2 linked regions of the Kluyveromyces lactis genome follow. The protein of the gene in region 2 purifies or fractionates together with the protein of the main gene of each other region. This does not show direct contact. Links are inferred from orthologs where the notes say so. Each region holds a gene or a part of one and is shown on either strand. Other genes may lie near its edges.

Region 1 (11,668 bases), on a different chromosome or scaffold from region 2:
ACATGGATAGAACCGTTCTTCATCATATTGTGATTACTTCTGGTATGCCTGGTTGTAATGCAGCGGCTAAGTATTACCTCGATATTTTGATGGGTTGGATAGTTAAAAAGCAAAGCAGAACTAAAGAATCGCATTGCGTGCTACTAGAAGATATCGATCTTCAATGGGTTATCACTCATTTACTCAATGCTAGAGATTCTAATGGTGATACCTGTTTAAATATTGCCGCCAGGCTTGGAAACGTTGCCATTGTCGAAGCATTGTTGGATTATGGTGCTGATCCTAATATTGCAAACAATTCCGGATTGTGCCCTGTGGATTTTGGTGCAGGTACTCAACCCCGTTTTCAATCGAATACAAAAAATCTTATGGCCACACCTACCAAAACTCATGAAACTTCGTTGGATCCGATGGCTGAGTCTACATCGTTAATCACAAATATAAAATCACTCCTCTCAAAAATATCGAATGATTATGGTGATGAAATTAAACAACATAATGGGAAGATGAAGGAGCTCCTCGATACACTCAACATAAAGAGAGAAGCGTTGGCTAATGCACGGGATAGATTGGCTAAGGCAAAGCAAATCCAAGATGAATATAATCTGTTGTCCGACAGACTGAACAATGTGGAAAACACTATCGCTGAAGAAGATCAAAATTTCCAACTTGCTTCTAGAGAATTAGGACTATCACTGGATGATGTCCAAGAAGAAGGTCTGAACTCAGCCGATATTGCATTCGATGCTGATGAGCCTTTCAGAATCTCTTACGTTTACACAAAGTTTGAGGAAAAGATCAAAGACGAATATAACAATGATTTTGAACTATTCCTCAAACATTGCAATTTATCACAACTTGTTCATGAAATATACGATAACTTCCCTTCCAGAGCAGAAATCCCACATCCCAAAATTCTTAAAGCAAGAATCAAAGCGTACAATAGAAACGAATTGCATTTAGACTCAACTTTACAGACTATCAAAGACAAGCAGAAGAATTTAGAATCTAAATTCAGAAAAGTCTTGTCTCTCTGCTTGAAGATAGATGAAGAGAAGGTTGACTCAATGCTTGACGGTCTTTTGCAAGCTATATCTAATGAAGATCCTGAAGATATAGATACAGACGAGGTGAACAACTTTTTAGAGAGTGCCGCCGAATAAATACCAATTGATGGTAACCTATTTGGAAATAACTCTTGTTGTACTTTTATTTCTAACTAAACAGTTTACGCAAGCTGTTGTAATTTTAGTGGACTTTTACCTATAAAATACGATGAACCTTTTTTTTCTATTACATTTATTGCCTATGTATATATTTGTTTCTTCGACGCCTTGTGTTAAAAAGCAAGTCGAGCAGAATTTTTAGATTATTTAGTTGGTTTCTTCCAGAAATACTGTTTATGCACTCTCCTGCATGATCTTAAACCAGATCTGCCACCCTTGAGTGATGCTACCAGCTGTCTTCTGTCATCGTCAGGATCATTTTCTGCATCATAGTAGTATTCTTCATCCAGTGGCTTTCCTGCGGCATCTTTTCCTGTACGGTAAATTACTCCGATACATTGTTCGTCATTCAAAATAGCGCGCAGTTCTGTGCGGCTTAACTTCGAGACAACAGAGTTAACATCCTGCAATTGAAAGAGTGGCACTTGTTGAATGTTAGAGAATGCTAAGTGATTGGACAATACATGCTGTAATTCTTTGTAATCTACCCCCCTTGTAGTCAAAGAGGAAAGAGTTTGTTCTTTTGAAGCTTCATCACTGTCAATTTGCTTTCTTGATTTCTTTTTGGATTTCTTCTTTGGCGAGGGAGTGTTTAACTTACGACGACGGACTTCATCGGCGTTCTCATCCACCTTAACCTTGCTAGGTGTAGTCATGTCCTTAACTGGAGTACTTGCTTCTAATTTCTTCGGAGCATTTGGAGTCTTTATTGTGAAAGAGCTATATGGGGTCAGCTTGCACTTGGTACGTTCCACATTAGGTCTTTCAGTATCAGAAGTATGTCTTATAGCCACTGGTAAAACCGATGGTTTCATGCACTGAGGTGTCGGTGGCGAACACTCGACTGTGCTCATTGGTATCATATTAGCAACAGATTCCTGTTCTTCCAACGAGAAGTCTTCGTCATGGAATTCATCACTGTGTAAGTCGACTTTTGTCAGTTCATCTTCAGTTTCCGTATCATTTTTGGCATCTTCTTCATCAGTTGTAACATCTTGTAATCTAACACGAGCCTCACATTGTCTGAAGTCGAATATTGTGTCCTTGATATATGGCATAATGACTGTTTCACCTTTCAATAGTACAAATGATGTCAAATAAGTTGATTTCAACAACTGCTTTTCCTCTGGAGAAATGATTTGTTCGTTATCATGTAATTGGTCCTGTGTTACTAGCTCGTAAACATCTGAAGCTTTTGATCTTTTAACCAATACATGTGACAGCTTCTTCGGGAAGGAAATAACGAGACCATTTGTACCATTGCATTCGAGTTTTAATTGGTTGGAAGGTGAGATATAAGAAATGAAAGCATGTTGTCTGGAGATATTTTTTCCGCGAGGAAGATGTATATCACATACAGATTTTTTGCGCCCAATTGCCAATCGTGAGTTATCTCTCGGATCTAGCGAAATATCGATTAGGCTAACTTTCTTCAATTCGGTCTCCAGATGTTTTTCCATTTCGTAATCAGATGATAATATCTCACCTGCTTGATCTCTCATTGGGGAAGAGGAACGACCAACAGTAGAAGAGGGATGTGGAGTTGGATAATTTTTGACATTACCTTGCTTTAAGTCGTCTTTGTCCTTGAACAACTTCAAACTGGCAGATGAGACCACGGATTCAGTATCTTTCTCTGGGTGATAAAATGGATTTTCTAAATCATATTGATGTGAGCTCGCAATAGGAGATGAAGGAGGAAACTGCGAGTTCATGACCTCGTGTCTTTTCTTTCTTTGGTTTAATCTCTGTTAACGTTCAGGTGCTTCAGTTTTAACCCTTTAGAATCTGATATTAGATTTTCCAAGTAGCAGTATCTTTGTTGCCTTTCTATGACAGGACACTCCAAAAACAATACTACAGAATCGTTTTGTCTTAGATAGATGTTAATAAACGTAAAAGAACTTACTACAACCTAAAGTCTCTTCATTTCTCAACTGAATATGAACTTCATACTAACTTCAAACTACAAAATATGCGTCGCGTCGTTTCCTTGTATTTTGTCTATTTCGTAGTGGCCACTTTTCGCGTTATTCCCCAACTATCAGGACTGCTCATTTATTAAATCCGTACATCCAAGAATATTCTATACAGATAAACTAAAACTGGTGAGTTGAAAATGTATTTCCCTTTTTGGTAAATAGACGGCTCTCCGTATTTGAAATTTTCTTTTCCCTGCTTTTCGATATCGAAATTTTCCAAGGAAAGTTGTTTCAACCAAACTTTTAGAGATAATATACATTGTTCTATATCCAACTAAGGTCAATATGATAGAATAGTGCTATCATTATAGTGTTGGGTTTAGATTCAAGATAAGACAGAACCAGACATAATCAAACATGGGTAGTATGTGATAGAATACTATACATTTTGGAACATCCTTATTAAGAGCTTTGGAGTGTGATATGCATAAAGAACGAGTAAAATGGAGAAAACAATAACACAAGGAATAATTGAACCACCCGTGAGGCAGCACCAAATTAACGGAATGGACAGTCGAACTCTAATGGAATATAACGTTTGATGAGGTATATTTTGAAAAAGGCCAGAAAACGTTACGACATCGGCGAGTACGTTAGCGAATTATAATGTTCAATTTACACCTACTTATTAAACGGGAGAGAACAAGAATGAAAAAGATTTGAGAACAACGGTCGACTCATTGGAAGGATTTCTTCGGAAATATCAGGTTAGGTTTTATGTTACCTTCTATGAAATTTTTTGACAGATTCAACTAAGTAATAATGACCATCATATTACACTTCACCTACCTAGCTCATGTGGAGAGTTCGATTTACTCTAAGGAAACAGTTTTACTAACGATTTTTTTGCATTGTCAAATTTTTTAAACAGAGGGTACTCCATCTTTCGGTAAGCGCCACAACAAGTCTCACACTCTATGTAAGAGATGTGGCCGTAGTAGTTACCACATTCAAAAGCACACCTGTTCTTCTTGTGGTTACCCAGCTGCTAAGATGAGATCTCACAACTGGGCTGCCAAGGCTAAGAGAAGAAGAACCACTGGTACCGGTAGAATGAGATACTTGAAACACGTTTCTAGAAGATTCAAGAACGGTTTCCAATCTGGTGAAGCTAAGGCACAATCCGCTTAAACTTTGAGATTATCATGTTGTTGAAGACATATTTTTTATTATCTCATTACTTTGTATAAGCATTGTACTTCTAAATAAACCATCAATATAATCTTTTCAGAGTTCATTCCTATGAAATAATTGGAATATGCTAATATTTATCACTTTGATCAGTGTAAGTCGATGCACATGAACGCCAGTAACTGAGCTCTCTTCGCTTCCGTCTTTCTCAAGTTTCACTAACCATGGCTACATACAATGAATCCGCTTCATCCATAGTGGTTATGCTTTCGAGAATATATTTAGCCATGTCTCTCAATGGCCATGAGCTGTTGTTATTAAATTTTGAAACTGCAGATTCCCTTTTTATGTCCAATTCCTCGGAGTGCATGAATGCTGGTAAATTATCTTCATCATAAGCGTCATCAAAGTATTTCTTCTCTTCCTCTAACGCCAATGCTTTCAATGGATTTATTAGGGCAGCCCATTCTGTGGATAATTCATCTGTCGACTCAGGCCACCCATATACAATACGCCATAGACAGATTGTCAGTTCGTCTAGCCTTAAGGCACGTTTATACTCGTCACTTATCGACACCCAACAGAAGTATATCAATTTTAATAAAACTGATAACAATTCCTGTCTCTTAATATCACTGATATGGTCCCTATCCAAGAACACAGTAAGTAATAACTCTTGATGACTACTGAAAAGAGAAAAAGTCTTTTGTAGAAATTCCAACGAACATAGAGTGGATCGGTATCGATGAAGCAGTTTATGCATTATTAATGTAATATTAATTTGTATCTGAATTGACCAATACTCTAGGTTATCTAATGCTGTGAAAGTGAGAGGTTCAAACTCGTTCTCTATAATCATGGGTAAATATCGAACTTCTTCGAGACTTATAATATTATCTATCATTGAATGATTGGAGTTATCGCCACAGCACCTATTTAAACCCGCAAAGTTGAGTGACACAGAGTCAAAAGTAAGTGATCTCTCCCAATTTTGAATTAATTTTGAGAACAATACTGCCCATTTGCCTTTCCAAACGTTTTCAGCACCATCCAATTCAACTATACCGAGTAATATTTCCGTTACGTTGACGATGATTGGCATTATTGGCTTATATGAAATTGATAAAGTAAAATTGCAACATTTTATGAGGTTCTCTGCAATAGTAGCGTCATTCAATACTATTTCCTGTGCCCGCGTATTACAGTTTAGCAATATTACAATACATGTCTCTAGGACATCGAACGAATAAGTCATGCATAATTGATCAAGCATTGAATATTGAAACACGTCTGGAGAAACGTCTAAATCCAAAGGACTCTCATGCAATGGCTGTTTCAAAAATTTAGGATCAGAGATGATAAAATCTGTAATGAATTGAAATACATCCTTCAGTGAACTAACACTGGTCGCACTATGTCTAAAATTGATTGTACAATGCATCAAAGATATGAGGAAAGGGATGGCAAGTTTATTTTCCGGAAGTACACTTACTGATTTTATAGCAATAGCCAAGATCTCTAGTGTTTTATCAACTAGTTGATCGAGGGTGTAAATGGATTTCCATTTAAATATCAACGATCTAATAGGAGGGCCAAGAGGCAACCTGGCCTTAATTATTTTGTGTTCCGGGCTCAAAATAAGATCTGTCTTATAAGTACAAATGTGATCGAGCATTTCTAGAACTGTGTGCTCAGAACCAAGTAGTTTAAAATTCAGCAAATGATCATAGAAAAGGGAACCATCGTCTACTTTGAAATTCTGAGTCAATGTAACGTATTCTTTAACGGGTTCCATCCTTCTTCTTTTATTTTCAATTGGTGATGGTTCAGCAGTTTCAGTTTCGTGGGTAGTTTCAGACTTGCTGCTATTTCTGGGGGTAAATAAATGTTTCTGTTCCAGTAACATGAACTTTCGTTCATCTTCAAGTCGTTCCAATTCGATTTTAAGCTTCGTAACTTCCTCTTCATGAGAACTTTTCAGACTTGATTCCAGCTTTTTCTGATTATCATCATGTTCCCTTAGAGTCTTTTCGAGCATACTCAGCTTCTGCCTCAAGACTCCCACTTCTCCCTTCGCTTTCATTAACTGTTCAGCTTGTGATTCTGGCGGTTTAATAGGTACCGCCATCTGGCTCATCGGAGGTCTATTCACTAGTTCTAGGATATCATCGTCATCGTCATTATCATCCCATAAATCTGCCATATTGGCCTAGGTTGGTTTTTCTTGTTTTTGTTTGACGCGTTCATGGTAATGTTCTTGACATGAATTAACAGTTAAAGGTTAAATCAAATTCTGTGGTCTTAAGGTGTAAACAAATATGCAGATGATCTGCATTAGCTGAAAGAGAAAAAAAATACATAGTTTCTTGGTTTCACTGTTGTTGACCTTCATTCCCCATTAACGCTGATAACATGTCGCTATAATGCCCTTATACTCGCTGAATTAAAGTCCCGTAACTTCTATATCTCTTTCTGTACACTCTTTGAATGTATTACAATATTTATTAATGATATTTGACTTAATGCTGGCATAGAGTTGTAAAATATAAAAAAGATTATATTAACATATTGAAACAATCAATGTCATATTCACAATCATAATAAGAAAAGTTTCTTTCAGAAGGATATTGCTATGGTTAAAATTGTTAATCATTTAAATGAATGGTCTAGAAAGATCATTTATATTGACGCTACATAGAGTATTCTCTTTGCCCAGTAAATATGACATTTCAATGTTTAGTCATAAATTTACTGAAAATACTCAATCGAAAGATGGGACAAGACCCACACTCTCAGAGATGCAATTGATTTACATTCTACCATGTTACAACGAACGCATGTATCGAATGGCGATTTCATGCCTTGAAATCCCTTCCCTCTTGTCATTTGGAAGCTATGACATGCGGTGCACGGAATTTCTTTTTACTGTTTGAATTTTTTTTTTTCTATTAACCACTTCATGCTCATCGAATGGAATAGTTACAGAATAACTGGAAGAGACCATACTTTAACTACTTGCCGCATCGTTGTACCAGCTCCTGTGGTTTGTTATCGACTGAGGATAAGCTTTATTACGGTACATTTTAGTAATATAATAAGTACAAAAGAAATAATATCAAGATAATATGGTTGAAGATTCTAAGGTCAGAGATGCCATGAAAAATGGTGAGAAGAAAGTCTTGCCGGCATCATTGGTCCCTCAAGCTCCGCCAGTGCTAACATCGAAGGACAAAGTTACCAAGAGACTTATTGTGGTGCTATCCCAGGCTTCTTTAGAGACACATAAAATATCATCCAACGGTCCTGGTGGGGATAAATACGTCTTGTTGAATTGTGATGATCATCAAGGTTTGTTGAAGAAAATGGGAAGAGATATAAGCGAAGCTAGACCCGACATTACTCATCAATGTCTTCTAACCCTATTAGATTCTCCTGTAAATAAGGCTGGTAAACTTCAAGTTTATATTCAGACCAGTCGAGGCGTTCTTATCGAGTTAAACCCTACTGTACGAATTCCAAGAACTTTCAAACGTTTCTCAGGTTTAATGGTCCAATTATTGCATAAACTATCCATCAGATCAGTTAACTCTGAAGAAAAATTGTTGAAGGTCATTAAGAATCCAATTACCGACCACCTACCAACCAAATGTCGTAAAATCACCTTGTCCTTCGATGCACCTGTCATAAGAGTGCAAGACTACGTGGAAAAGTTGGATGATGATGAAAGTATATGTGTGTTTGTTGGTGCCATGGCCAGGGGTAAAGATAATTTTGCAGATGAATTTGTGGATGAAAAGATTGGTCTATCCAACTATCCATTATCTGCTTCGGTTGCATGCTCCAAGTTCTGTCATGGTTGTGAAGATGTGTGGAACATTATGTAAACATGGAAACTCGATTGTTCAAATCAGTATTATATCTCGATAAAATTAAGTAATATTATCAAATGCAGAGTTCGATAACAAAAGTCGCCATATTTTGTACATCAAGGGTAGCATTGGAGCTAGTTTATGGTGAAACACGATAGAAATTTTTCTCTGCTCTCTTTCTTATCTGCCTGTTTACGGTTAGAAGTGGCATCTCAGACGTTTTAACTTTTAAGATGTCTCAAACATGTTTCATGTAAAATAAAAAGCTTAGAACAAAGCACATATAAAAAGGAACAATACTTACAGGTGCCACCTGCTAGTAGTGAACTGCGGATAACATAATTAGAATGATAGTCTCAGTAACTCAAAAGAAAACAATGATGTACCATCGAAATGGGACATATTTACTTAAAACTTAATGAGCGTCTGTCACAGATATGGTGTAATAAATATACGATAATCATACTAGTCATGATGGTTAAGATACTATTGTTCATAAAAATGCTATCAAACGGGTTCGAAAATATAATGGATTATACCATGGAGAATTGCCGTAACATCGATTATTATTATTCCAAATATGTCAATTCTTCCCCACATTATATGGGTCTTATGGGAAACTTTCTAATTCAAAAATCTATGGAACAAAGTGTAGCATTATCGCTAAAAAGTATTTCACTGTTGGTATCTGTTTCTGAAAATGTCATAGATTTTATGATAGATCTTTGGTTGGGGACATGGGTATGCTTAATCGTCAGTGCAATTGATGGATCGGTTGATGTTGCAACGAATGCTACAGAATCTGTCATTGATTTAGTAAATGGAACAGTAAGTAGCGTCGCAGATGAGATTGATGATGGATTGAGCGGATTGACCAAAGTAGTTAATAAAGTTCTTTCGGCTGTCAATGATATTCAGAATTTCTTTAAAGGGAACGATGATGAATCAGACATTAATGATCAAGTAAAGAAAGTTAATTTAACAATAAATGGGCTGAGAACACTTTCTATTCCAAGTTCTATAGATGATAAGCTGGTGAAGCTGTCTGCTAATACACCTGATTTTGATACTGTTAAGAATAAAACTAAACAAGCAATTGCCGTTCCATTTGATATCATCAGGAATGAAATTAAATCAATTAACGCCAGTAAGCTAGTTGGAGACCCGCAGTACCTTGAAGTACCAGCAATTGATACTAGTGGTGTAAAAATATGTTCAGATAACAAGTCAGAAATAAATGAAGTCTTTGATACCATAAGAAAAGTGTTTAATGCTTCCACCATGACAATACTAATAGTTTTTATTCTTGCTGCTCTAAGTTTGATTGTGTATAACGCCTGGGCAGAGTGGAGGCAATGGATACGCCTTAAAAGATTCAGAGATCAATACAGGCATCAGACTATCATGCTTAAAAACCCATTTGATGACATGGCTGACGAAAAAGTCCCACAGAACGTCGATATATTAGAAACGTATCATCTGGTCTTCAATAGATATCAATCTGGATTTGGAAGATGGCTCAGCAGACGTATAAGTTCGAAGTTAGAAACACAACGAAATATCCAATGGTTGGTAACGTATTTGACATCTTCTACTTCGCTAACGTTATTAGCACTTGGGTTATGCGGTATTCTCATGTGTTGCGTACAATTTGCCATCATTGCGATCATTTCCAACAAGATAAACGGGAAGGAGACAGAAAAAATGATGACATCGATGTCCACAGCCATGAATGATACAGTACAACAGGGAATGACAGACTGGTCTAAATCTGCCAACCTCTACATTAACGACACGGAAACTCAAATTAATAGGCAAGTTTTTGGATGGATCCAAAATACGACAGACACAGTAAACGGTACAGTGACAGATTTAATTGAAGACATCGACAACGCAATTAGCAAAGCGTTCAATGGGACAATTTTGTACAAACCCATGGATACGGTAATGCAATGTGTCATCGGAAACAAACTGGAAGCCATATCTACAGCTCTAACATGGGTCCATAATACAGCTCAAGTGAACCTCCCCCGAGTCAACGGTTCTGAATTATACCAACAGCTTCAGCAAAACCTCACAGATTCAAACTCTACTACTTCCAGCACTGCAGAGTTACCCAATTCGACATCAATTGCAACCCAGCTCAAGGATAATCTCATCTCTGCAGCGAACAAGATTTTATCACAGTATAAGAATACTGTCGTCATAGAACTCATCGTGTCGTCTGTTTTTCTAGCACTTTACTTTTTTCAAATTCCGGTTGCCGGTATTATCCTGGCGGCACAGAAACACAAGTCAAAACATAATAATCAAAACCGTCCATAATACCGTCCAGGGTCCTACCCTCTATTTAGCATGTACAGAATATAATGGGCATACTACCAAACAAACTGCAGATTCTCTCCTCAGTCGCCTAGAAAAGAAAATATAAAATAGAAATAGATCAGAATTGGGGCAACATTACGTCAGGACCAAAAAAAAGTGGCTGTGAAAGAATTGCTACTCCTCCTGCATTGTCAATAGAATTTCCGACGTTTGAAGAGCTCTCTCACAGCAAACTGCCTATTGCTCATTTATTAAGGCCAATCTGCAGTGTCAATCATCCGGCTGTCGTCATCGTCCCATCAGTTCAAATCAGTTCAAATAGATTCGATGACAAACATGAAACATGCCGTGTGAGATGACTAAAAAAGTGCTACTCTGGCAATTTTGACTATTTAGAAAAAGTCGAAATTCCTAGAAAATCCCGTAGCAAATTCGGCCCAATTTTACAAGCCTCAATGAAACCAGTTTACGAAGATCGACTATCTCAAGGGTGGGCACTAAAACGCTTGGTGTCGCATACGCTTACATATAGCATATACTTTCCAGAAGGTGGGTCAATTGAGGGTTTTGTTGGAAATCACAACAGGGCAACTGCCCCCATGCCCCCCCTGGTCGAATAAGAAAAGCTCAATGGAATAGTTGGGGCCAATTATCAATAGAAAGAAAAAAAAAAGCGCGTCAGTTCCACATGCTTTTTTGTGGTGTCAAAGTAGCGCAGGAAGTAGTATATAGTATATCCTCGCTATAATTGTTCAAAATGGCAAACAATGTCAACAAAAGGAAGCTCAGGGTTACACCCTAGTATCTCGGAGCTACACTTTATCAGACATGATCTCAACACAGCCCTCTCTCGCTCGAGGAGCTAACAACAAACAAAACATTCACGTCTTGCCAAGATTTCAGTATCCGAATAAAGAACAAGTTTCTACCCGCAATATATAATGCAATAAATACTATAGGAAAAAAATACAATGCGTAACTGACAACAGACACAAACAGATATAGAAACCAAACCAAAAAAAAAACGAAAAATTTACATAGGATATATCCTTGTCTGGTTTACAAACTTCACTCGTAGTTTTGGCAGATCAAACTTATTTCAACTTTGCGCTTCAATTGGGGGTTTCTTTTAATC
Region 2 (11,776 bases):
CCCGCATGAGGTTAATCAGACACGATGTTAATCTAGGTCGTGCTGTTTTCTGGGAACTTACATCTAGGGTACCAAAATCACTTGTTAACATAACGTGGGAGAATACTCTTTCTTCAGTTTATAGCAAGAATAATCCTAATTTACTTTTCACTATGTGCGGTTTTGAGGTGAGAATACTACCGAAATCTCGGATGGAAGATGTCATTTCTCATGATGAGGGTGTATGGGATTTGGTGTTGGACTCCACAAAAGAACGGACTGCCAAAGCGTTTTTACAGGTATCACAAGAAGCTATTGATGAGTTTAGAGGTCGTATTCAAAGTATTTTGATGGGTTCCGGCTCCACAACTTTTACAAAAATTGTGGGCAAATGGAATACTGCACTAATCGCTTTGTTTACCTATTTTAGAGAATCTATCGTCACGACAGAACCGTTACTCGACTTACTCGTGAAATCTGAGACTAGAGTTCAAAATAGAGTAAAACTCGGCTTAAATTCTAAAATGCCAACAAGGTTCCCTCCAGCAGTGTTTTATACACCTAAAGAGTTAGGTGGTTTGGGAATGCTCAGCGCATCGCACATTTTAATTCCCGCTTCTGACTTGAGGTGGTCAAAACACACAGATACTGGAATAACACATTTCAGGGCAGGGATGTCCCACGAAGATGAGAAGATGATACCAACAATTTTCCGATACATTACTACCTGGGAGAACGAATTTTTGGACTCACAGAGAGTATGGGCGGATTATGCTGCTAAAAGACAAGAAGCCATAAAACAAAATCGTAGGTTGGCATTTGAAGAATTAGAGGGTTCTTGGGATAGAGGTATACCGCGGATCAGTACCATATTCCAAAAAGATAGGCATACGCTAGCCTATGATAAGGGTCACAGGATTAGGCGACAATTCAAAGAGTATTCAGTGGAACGTAGTAATGCTTTCTGGTGGACAAATAATCGTCATGATGGTAAATTATGGAACTTGAATGCCTATCGTACGGATGTCATTCAGGCCTTAGGGGGTATCGAAACAATTCTTGAGCACACATTATTTAAAGGAACTGGCTTTAAATCATGGGAAGGACTTTTCTGGGAGAAAGCCTCTGGTTTTGAAGATTCAATGCAGTTCAAGAAACTTACTCATGCACAAAGAACTGGTTTGAGTCAGATCCCTAATCGTAGGTTTACGTTATGGTGGTCTCCGACGATTAATAGAGCGAACGTCTACGTTGGGTTTTTGGTGCAATTGGATTTAACAGGAATATTCTTGCACGGTAAAATTCCAACATTGAAGATATCTTTAATTCAAATTTTCCGAGCACATCTATGGCAAAAAATCCACGAAAGTGTGGTTTTCGACATCTGTCAAATTCTGGACGGCCAAATGGATATACTACAGATTGAATCTGTTCAAAAAGAATCAATTCATCCACGTAAGTCGTATAAGATGAATTCGTCTGCTGCTGACATCACATTGAACAGTATTTACAAATGGAAGGTTAGCAGACCAACATTGTTGCATCAGACGAAAGATTCTTTCGACGCTACCACAACTGACAAAATGTGGATCGATGTGCAGCTTAGATATGGTGACTATGATTCTCATGATATATCAAGATATGTCCGTGCGAAATTTTTAGATTACACCACAGATAACGTGAGCTTGTACCCGTCTCCTACTGGTATTATGATCGGTATTGACTTGGCCTATAATATTTACGACTCCTATGGAACGTGGTTTGAGGGATTGAAGCCCTTGATACACAACGGTATGAAAACAATAATGAAAGCTAATCCAGCACTTTACGTTTTGAGGGAGCGTATCAGGAAAGGTCTTCAGATATATCAATCTCAAGTTCAAGAGCCATTTTTGAACTCATCCAACTACGCAGAGCTATTTTCCAATGACACAAAATTCTTTATCGATGATACGAATGTTTACCGGGTCACTGTTCATAGAACTTATGAAGGCAATGTGGCTACTAAGCCTATCAACGGATGCGTGTTTACTTTAAATCCGAAAACAGGTGAACTATATTTGAAAATAATTCACACTTCGGTGTGGGCGGGGCAGAGCAGATTGGCTCAATTGGCAAAATGGAAAACCGCAGAAGAAGTAAGTGCATTGGTTAGATCGTTACCCAAAGAAGAACAACCTAAACAAATTATAGTTACTAGAAAAGCTATGATGGACCCTATGGAAGTACACATGTTAGATTTCCCAAACATTTCGATTCGTCCAACTGAGCTCAGATTACCTTTTTCTTCTGTTTTGAACATAGAAAAATTAAATGATGTTGTTTTAAGCGCTACAGAACCGCAGATGGTTTTGTTCAACATTTATGATGACTGGCTAACTCGAGTTTCTGCCTACACTGCTTTCTCTAGATTGATATTGCTATTAAGAGCGCTCAAAACCAATGAAGAAAAAGCCAAAATGATTCTATTAGAGGATCCTACAATCCCAACGAGAGCTAATCATCTATGGCCTTCTTTTACTGATGATCAGTGGATTGAAATTGAGACGAAGATGCGTGATCTAATTCTCTTAGAGTATGGTCAAAAATACAATGTAAACATTGCTTCTTTGACTCAAACTGAAATCAAGAATTTGATTTTAGGACAGAACATTAGAGCTCCATCTGTTCAGAGGCAGAAGATGGCAGAATTGGAGGCTGCAAGAAATCAGAAAACTGATGAGTCGTCGCAGTCTGCCACGGCAGCCATGAAGCTAAAAACAATCAATGCTCAAGGTGAAGAAATTACAGTGGTGTCATCCAGCAATTATGAGTCCCAATCTTTCAGTTCGAAAAATGCTTGGCGGTCAAATGCAATCTCCAATTCATTGCTACATTTGAAGCTTAAGAACATATATGTTACTGCCGAAGATTTTGTAGAAGATAAAGATGTCCTCGTATTCCCACGGAACTTGTTGAAGAAGTTTGTCACAATAGCTGATGTCGATGTCCAAATTGCAGGGTATATGTACGGGTCACCTGTAAAAGATCACCCTAATGTGAAGGAAATTAAGACGATAGCACTTGTCCCTCAACTCGGCAGTTCCGCAACTGTTCGCATATCTCCTCCCCCCTCATCTTCCAAATATCTCAACGACATGGAACTGTTGGGATGGATACATACCCAAAAAGTCGATTCCAAATTCATGTCACCATCTGAAGTGATCACTCATTCCAAAATGTTTTCAGATCATAACGAAAGTGCTGTTGATTTGTGCATAAATCTAATCCCAGGTGCCGTATCAATTACAGGATATACGTTAAGCACTACGGGTTTCAACTGGGGCTTACAATCGAAAGACATAACGGACCCTTCACCAGAAGGGTTTGAAGCTTCATTTAGCGAGACTGCACAGATTTTATTATCTGAACGCATTATGGGCAATTTCTTGGTACCTTCGTCATCGATATGGAATTACGCTTTCATGGGAACTGCTTTTAGCGAAGATCTACCTTACGAATTGAAATTAGACATCCCACTAGAGTTCTATAATGAACTCCATCGTGCTCCTCACTTCATACAATTCTCTGAACTTGCTGGAGATGAGGAATTAGAACCGGATCAAGAAAATCTATTCGCTTAAGCGAAGGAGAATACAGATAATTTCTCTATAATTGTTATATATTTTTTTAAAACCATTTTACATTTATATTAGGCATCTGACCTGCATTTGCCCTTACATCAACCGTATAAGACGGTTTGGAATGGCGTTTTAGGCTCTACGATTTTCATATTATCATAAAAGTGAAGTAGTCATAATGTGCTTGTTCCATCTGACTTCCAAACTTTCACGTGACTTCTCTCTGAGAGGTAATACTGAATATTTAAAAAGTAGACAAGGAACTTCGTCCCTTGAAGATATTGCACATCGACTCTCCGATGGAGACGGTTAAACAAACAGTTTAACCAAAGTGATTATTGGTGCATATTGGAAGAAACTAGTTACTTTCAATAAAGGAAGCCGTGAAATAATAATGGCGCGAACAACTACCAAGAGAAATGTCTCTGCAGCAACACGACCACAAAGAAAGAATCCATTGAGATTTAAACCAGGTAACTCTGGACCGAAATATAACAGGCCCAACGCAGCAGGTCCTAAAAAAACGGATCATATGATAGCTGCAACTTCTACTAACGCGAATCAAACATCTAACTCTGATAAATCTTCTAAATTTCTCCCAATGTCTGGTCATGAAATGAACGCAGCTAAGTACATTATGGAACTAACGAGATTAGGTTACTCGTTTGACAAAGTACAAAAAGGCTCCAAATCAAATTACAACTTTCTATCAAAAATGTATAATGCCCTTAGACTACCCGTTAATATTGACTCTGGTGACATATCGTCAAATGAAGAGAATGATGTGAAAATAGCAGTTAAAGAGAATTTACTTACAAAGCCAACTGCTTTCCAAAATTCTATTGAAAAGCAAGAGACACCAAAGCTATCACAAAATGAAACCGAAGCCACAGAATTTAATCAAAGTACCTCTGCACCAAATGTTTCTAATACTAAAAATAGGTCGTTCGCACTGCCAGAGGAACGGGAACTAACGGCAATCGATTCAATTGCATCAGAAATGAATGAAGAAAAGCTTGGAATGGCATTATATGAGCAGACATCCCGTATACTCATGAAGACGAGGCTAAATTTACTGAAGCTAAAGGCTGCAGCAAACAAAAGAGTACCGAAGTTTAGCAAAGAACTGGAAGCGTCTCTCAAAAAGAAGAAAGATTTACTGATTTCAGATATTGAAAGTTTCTATTCCACAATTGGGTTACGAGATGAGTTCGCTCCAGGAATGAACGATGATTTCATCGAATTGGGAGATTCTTTTATGGATAAAAGCAACCACGACGAACATATAGTCAATGATGAAAACGAACTGCCGAAACGTCTACAAAGTCCGGATCAACATATCAGTATGGCGAACTCTAAAACTTATCAACTCAATCTCAATCAAGCTAGTAACGGCCTAGTAGAACCATCCACAATCATACAGGACAGTGTCATTAAATTAAAGAAGTCTACACCAGATCACTTTACCCCGTATCAATCCCTCAATTTAACGAAAAGAACTCAACCTAATACTTAATACTAACGCGTTCGTACGTAAAATTCTGACGTATCAACTCACCGTTTCCGTTCATTATCATGACGTTTATCAAACAATATAATTTATAAAGGAATGCACGAAAATGCATCAATATTTGTGAGAGGACCAAAGTGTCGGTTCTATACATCCAATGTAAGTCGTACCCTAGCCCTGCGATTGCCTTTTGCCATGCGCAATGTTTTGGTTTGGAATCAGAAAATGTTGATCTCTAAAAAACGTAAATATTAAAACAATACACATAAATATATCGCGAATAAGAAGAACTATTTGAATATCTTCAAACGCGAAGAGAGAAAAGCCCAACTGCCAATCAGTCAACTTTAGGATTAGTGAATTGGTGGTAACCCAAATGGTGGGGATTCAAGAAGCAGAAAAAGAAGCATACTGTTGTACAAACTCAATAGCAATAAGGCTTTGAATTCTTTACTGGAAACACGATGGTTTCTACCCCAAAGAAAAAACGTACCGCCAGTGTTTCTATATCGCCATTTAAGAAGGATACGGATGCTATTTCAGTGGATTATAAAGGGAAACCTAAAAAGAAACCAAGTAAATCTTACCATTTTGCCCCCCTGAACCGGCTTAGCAGTGAAGAACCAATTTTGAAATCGATACCGATCTCAAGAGTACGAAATGTGGAAGCTGGAAGTTCCGTCAAAGATACTGTCAATGCGAAAACTAGTGGCAAAACAAAGCTTGCATCTAAAAGAATTATCAATAGCACAAAGACTAGAAGGGAAAAATCGACTGAAGCTGTGCCAGAAACGAGGTATAGCGATGGTCCGTCGGAAGAAGTAATATGGAGATACTCTCCTAGGAAAATTGATGAGCAATTATGTAACCATTATAATACTGGAAACGACGATAATAACTCCGATGAATTAAGTCAAGATATGCCTCTAGGTCAATCTTCTACTCCATTGATCAACGATAAGTTTAAAGATGTGATTGATTTTGAGAACATGGATCCCAACAGCATTGATAAAGAATGCAGGAAAATTGCACAAGGATCTCCTGTAAAAAGAGGAGAAAAGGATGTCACACCTATGAGAGATATACACGAAATTTTAAACGACTTAGAAGGTCCTAAGTTGCTTCCGCCTTCTTCACCAATTTGCTCGGAACCAGTTGTTATAGACGATGACCCTGTAGAAAATCTTCCGGAGCTGGCATCAGAGAGTATTTCAAATCATAAGCATACTACAACTAATGGCATAGAACGCACGTTCACAATGTATCCTCCTCAGATCAATATAGATGACGACGAGGATGAGGACGATTCGTTAATTGATATTCTCACACAAAGATTCACAAAGCCAGTCATCACAGAATGCAATGAAGAATCAGAGGAATCAGATGCTTCCTTATTAGAACTTCTTGATGAGGAAAAGCCAGCTACACTCCCTCAACTTCAAGTGAGAAAAATTGAACGCATTGAAGTTATGCTTGAATCAGAGGATGAAAATGTGGAAGACTCTGTAAAATCAAATGAAAATCAAACCGATCATCTGCTTAATAACAAAGCCGATGTGGTTGAAAGGTATGTTAACTTGGCTAAATTCCCATTCCCTCAACGCGGCTGTCAAAGACTATGTATTTTTGAAATCAAGGAAATGAAATCACCAGCGCAAATAATTCTCACATGCTTCAATCAGGATGCTGGAAAAGTTAACCTAATTCTCAGAGATCCATGGATTCGTTTCAGATACGAGCAAGGAATGATTATTCACCTAATAGAAGGTGACCACTTTCCTAATAAACGGCTTCTTTCAAATGACAAAGACCCTAAAACAGGCCTCGAAAATGATAATTTATTGATCGTGTATCCGGATGTTCTTCTTTCTGCCACTGCAATTGGGACTGCCATGGATTGCGAAAGGCGTGCCGTTTTATCTTCAAAATTTAATGAACCCGGTGAATACTCGCTTGCAGCTGTCTTAGGTAACATTATTCACGCGTTGGTCCAGGAAGTGTTAAAATTGAAGCTGTTGGAGCCGAATCAGTTTCTCTCAAAAGGCTTAGCTCTCGAAATTCTGGACAAAGTCATAAAACCATTCACTACGGAGGTGAATATGTGTGGAGAATCTGTCGAATCAGTGATTAAAACGATTTCAGATGAGCATTTACCTTTTATCATAGAATTTGTGAACATTTATGTCACTAAGGACAATTCAAGGTCCTGGATTCAAGTAATTGGAACAAAAAATAAACGTAAATTATCTGTTTCTCAGATCGTTGATATTGAAGAGAACATTTGGTCATCAAAGTATGGATTGAAAGGATATATAGATGTCACTGTTGAGACGAATGTTGATTCAGACGGTAAAAAGTTGTTAGCTCCCGTGGAGATAAAGACAGGGAAATGGAAATCTAATGCACACGAGGCACAGGGTCTAATTTATACATTGCTTCTCCAGGATAGATATGACATCCCTGTAAATTTGCACATGATGTTGTATACTAAGCTAAGAGAGTTCTCATTACAACCCAAAATTTTAATATCGCTAAAGCATCTGCTTAACCTCAGAAATAAACTTGCGACATACCTACAAGTAATGAATGAAGAGATGTCTGATTGGGGTGGACCACAACATGAATTACCCGCAATGATACAGAACTCCAAGTGCGATCAATGTTTCATGAAGACATCTTGCATGGTGCTCAACAAGTTAAGTGACAAAGAACAAACGCCAGGATTGCTAAAGCATGAATATACTGATTTAACCAGACATCTTGAAGCACAAGGCTCACAGGTCCTAGAGCTCTTTCGGTCGTTTTACGGCAAGTACGATAGGCTTTTAATGATGGAAGAAACTAGCATAACAAGTGTCACTAAAGATACTTTCCTTATGTCGGGCACAGATCGAGAGGCTCAAACAGGACATTGCATAAGTCAGCTTACCATAAAGAATGTACAGGATCAGGGAAACGGGAGATATCTGTACACTTTCTGCCGCGAAAACGATATTCAAGGGTCATTTGCCACTTCCAATGCAGAACAACAGGAGACCAAGAAACTCAAGAGCGCTCCACCTAGCATGCTCTCGTCAGATATCCATAAAGGAGATTATATAATGATCAGTAACGACACCTCTGGCCAGTTAGCCATTGGAACTGGTCATGTCTCTGAAATCGCTAACGATTTCATTGTGATAAATTGTGCGAGAAACATTCTGGCAAACAATATTCATGGTGATTCTTTTGATAGAAATACGAGACAAGTAGTTCGAAGTGTTTTACTTAAACAAAAAGAGCCATTGAACGAGAAACAAAGCTTGACAAATAGTCACCGATATCGTATTGATAAAAATGAGAGTGCTACAGGACTTACTTTGGCTCGTTACAACCTTCTAAATCTCTTTCTTCCAGAAGTCCTTATTGAAGCTGAATTCTCACCGCAAAAATCTGGAGAAAAATTACAGCTTCCTGTTAAAAGATCTCTTGGGGGTTACAGCAGGGGTCGTAGGCTCATTGTAGAGCTTTCCGAACCGAAATGGACGACTCATGCGGCCAGAATACCAACTCTTAATGACAGCTTTAATGAAAACCAGAAAATGGCGATTGAACGTTCGCTCACCTGCCGTGACTACAACTTGATTTTAGGAATGCCTGGAACTGGTAAGACATCAGTTATTTGTGAATTAGTTTCAATATTGGTAAATCAGGGAAAATCTGTCATGGTGACAAGCTACACCAATTCAGCTGTCGATAATATTATAATGAAGCTAACTTCGCGTATCCCTCGCTCTAAGATGGTACGTTTGGGATCTGGACGTCGAGTCCATGATTTGGTCAAACCATATTGCATAACAGAGATGTTAGATGGTGATAACGAGAACTTGTCGGAAATAATCGATGCAGCACAAGTGGTCGGTGTAACGTGTCTCGGTATTAATGATCCGTGGTTACAAATGCGAAATGGTGATTTTGATTATGTTATATTAGATGAAGCCAGTCAAGTTTCGCTACCTGTCGCCATTGGTCCATTAAGGTTCGGATATAAGTTCATATTAGTCGGAGACCATTATCAATTACCGCCATTAGTGAAGAACTCATTTGCACGTGACAATGGTCTACAAGAATCGTTATTCGAAAAATTGTGTCATTCGCATCCTCAAAGCGTTGTTGAACTACAATTACAATACCGTATGAATGCAGAGATCATGTCTCTTTCCAACGTGTTGATATACGGAGGAAAGTTACAATGTGGTACTGACGAAATCCGCAGACAAGTCTTACAATTCCCAAACAACTATAAATGCTCACAGGACACATGGCTGCAGAAGGCTATCAATCCCGAACAACCTGTGGTGATATTGGATCATGATGGCTTCCAGTCAACAAGTAACCAGCAGTTCGTTGAACAGAATGATCATGGCCAGCTAAGCAACGTTGGCGAAGCCAACGTCGTCAATGAAGTGGTGCGAGAGTTACTTGCACATGGTATCGAGGTGGACCAAATTGGTGTGATGTCTATGTACAAGGCGCAGATGTCGTTATTGAAGACGACATTGGAAGATCTAGACATTGATGTGTTAACCGCAGATCAATTCCAAGGAAGAGATAAAGACTGTATAATAATATCCATGGTGAGAAGTAATCCGGACCAGGCCAGCGGTGTGCTACTACGAGATTTAAGAAGAATTAACGTGGCTGTGAGCAGGGCGAAGAAGAAGCTGATCATCATTTGTTCCTGGAAATGCATATCTAAGATTCATCCACTGAAACCCTTCGTAGATCACGTGGCTAGAAACAATTGGATAACAAAGATGTGATCAACTTGAATTCTTCCCCTACGAAAGATCTAGCCATTTGATCCATATGTCCAGGTGACTGCTTTGTTCTAGATGACCATCACATACAGATATTATATACATATATATATATATATATATATATATATATACGTATCCATTGGTACAGGTTATTCTGCGTCATGTCTTTCATTCCCCCAACATATTTAATTCGTTTTTATTTTTGGCAAACCTGCATCATCGTAGTGCCATGCAGCTGGCGTAGAAACGATACGGACAAAAGAGAGAAAAAAAGTGATCAATCAGAGACAGAGAATGCATTAAACCGGTACTTAGACAAGCTGTTTAACCAACAGATATCATATAACTCTCATCTGGAAGAAAAGAAGACATGAAAACGTGGAGTTAACCCACTAGCAGCCGCTCATCTCAGTTCAGGGCTTATTGGTATACAAATTCCTGCAAGGGATTAAGAGTGAAAGATAAGACACAAAGATACAACGTAGAGATGGCTTTTTGTGCAGTATTAGTCCGTATTTGGTTGACTCTTCCGCCAAGATAATCACGTAGTCAGAAGATAAATGAGGGAAAATAACCGACGTCCAAGCAGGTAAATACGGACAGGTACATGCTACTTTTTACAGGTTGATCATCCAGTACTAGAAATGGAAATACGAGACACGTAGATATTCCTTAAAATATGTCGCAGGCACAGACGCGGCTAAAGGCTCCAAATTCTACAGATCACCTGGGAAACCCGGCACATTGTGGAGATCGCTTTTCCCCAACGTATTCTGTAAAGCGCAATTCCCTCAACCAAAGGAAAATCAAAAAGGAAAATGAGAATAAAAAAAACAACAACAACAAAGATCACCTGATTAACCTCAAATAGAACTTCCCGAAGCACAAGTGCCTAGATTTTCAAACATGTACGTGTTTCTCTTACGGCACACGAAACCAATCATTCCATGTCCTTCGATGAGACTCCATTAGGTTCCATATTGCTCTTTTTTTGAGGCAATTGGAAAACCGCGTTCATTAAAGAATATCATGGAACAGGAGAGAATATCATCCATCACCGTTCCGCGGATAGGCCGCGGAAAGAGAATAAGCTTTTGTCCCTAATGTCTACAATGTATCAATTCCGTTTTCTAGCAACTATTGCTTTCCGCCTACCAGTAACAAATTCCTATCTACTATTTTTTATTGCCGCGCCCATTTCCCGTTGGATACAGTCCAGCGCTGCCGGAAGTGTTTCCAGTTAACACGCTCGTCAGTCTACTTTCCACTATGCGACGAATATCAATAAATGTTGTCTACTCCGCATAATATACGGAGTGACTTGTCTTATTATAGCCGCAGACTGACAGCATTATCGTCAGAAAGAATCAAAAAGCGACGCTAGGAACGAAAGCAGCTCAGGAACCAAAAAAAAATATTTGACAGTGGGACCCATGGCCAAATTATGTACTATTAGTTAATCATTTCTGGAAGACTCTGGATTAACATAAAATCTCATCTCTAGTAGAACCAACAATTTAACCTTAACCCCTTCTCTCTGGTAAGCGCTGAACGCATGGCCATCAGGAGATTGTCTGATATTTTTAGGCAGGGCCCTTTCTTTTTCAAGCACAGAGATGGAACTGCCCCTCGGAGTTATTTTTTTTTTTTTTTTGATATTTTCTCTTTGTTATCAAAGGGTAACGTTTCCTTGATACTGTAATAATACCTTAATTTGGGTGCGTTTTACGTATGGCAATATGATAGCCGCGTAATTTCCTAGACATGCTAGACTAAACTAGATAGAGTGGGCATCCGGAGTTAAGTTTACAACGGATTCCTCTCCCACCTACCCTGTGACTCTAACCCTTTAGAAGAATGGTTTC

What was found.
Region 1: the proteins of DNA2 (region 2) and LCD1 purify together in Saccharomyces cerevisiae (affinity purification with mass spectrometry; 3 studies listed by BioGRID). This does not show direct contact. The link is inferred for Kluyveromyces lactis from reciprocal best matches to the Saccharomyces cerevisiae genes DNA2 and LCD1.

What each region holds. Positions count from the first base shown.
Region 1 is NC_006039.1:145,370-157,037, forward strand, and holds LCD1 (Lcd1p), read right to left. Parts: upstream 6,543-11,668; coding exon 4,548-6,542; downstream 1-4,547. Other genes in the region: transcriptional regulator SWI6, read left to right, coding at 1-1,163; TOS4 (Tos4p), read right to left, coding at 1,370-2,941; RPL37A (60S ribosomal protein eL37), read left to right, coding at 3,566-3,572, 4,080-4,339; EMG1 (18S rRNA pseudouridine methyltransferase), read left to right, coding at 7,465-8,223; pheromone-regulated protein PRM1, read left to right, coding at 8,602-10,533. UniProt on the Saccharomyces cerevisiae protein: Forms a complex with the serine/threonine kinase MEC1 which activates checkpoint signaling upon genotoxic stresses.
Region 2 is NC_006037.1:472,764-484,539, forward strand, and holds DNA2 (bifunctional ATP-dependent DNA helicase/ssDNA endodeoxyribonuclease DNA2), read left to right. Parts: upstream 1-5,573; coding exon 5,574-9,911; downstream 9,912-11,776. Other genes in the region: U4/U6-U5 snRNP complex subunit PRP8, read left to right, coding at 1-3,602; KLLA0_A05302g (uncharacterized protein), read left to right, coding at 3,994-5,115. UniProt on the Saccharomyces cerevisiae protein: Key enzyme involved in DNA replication and DNA repair.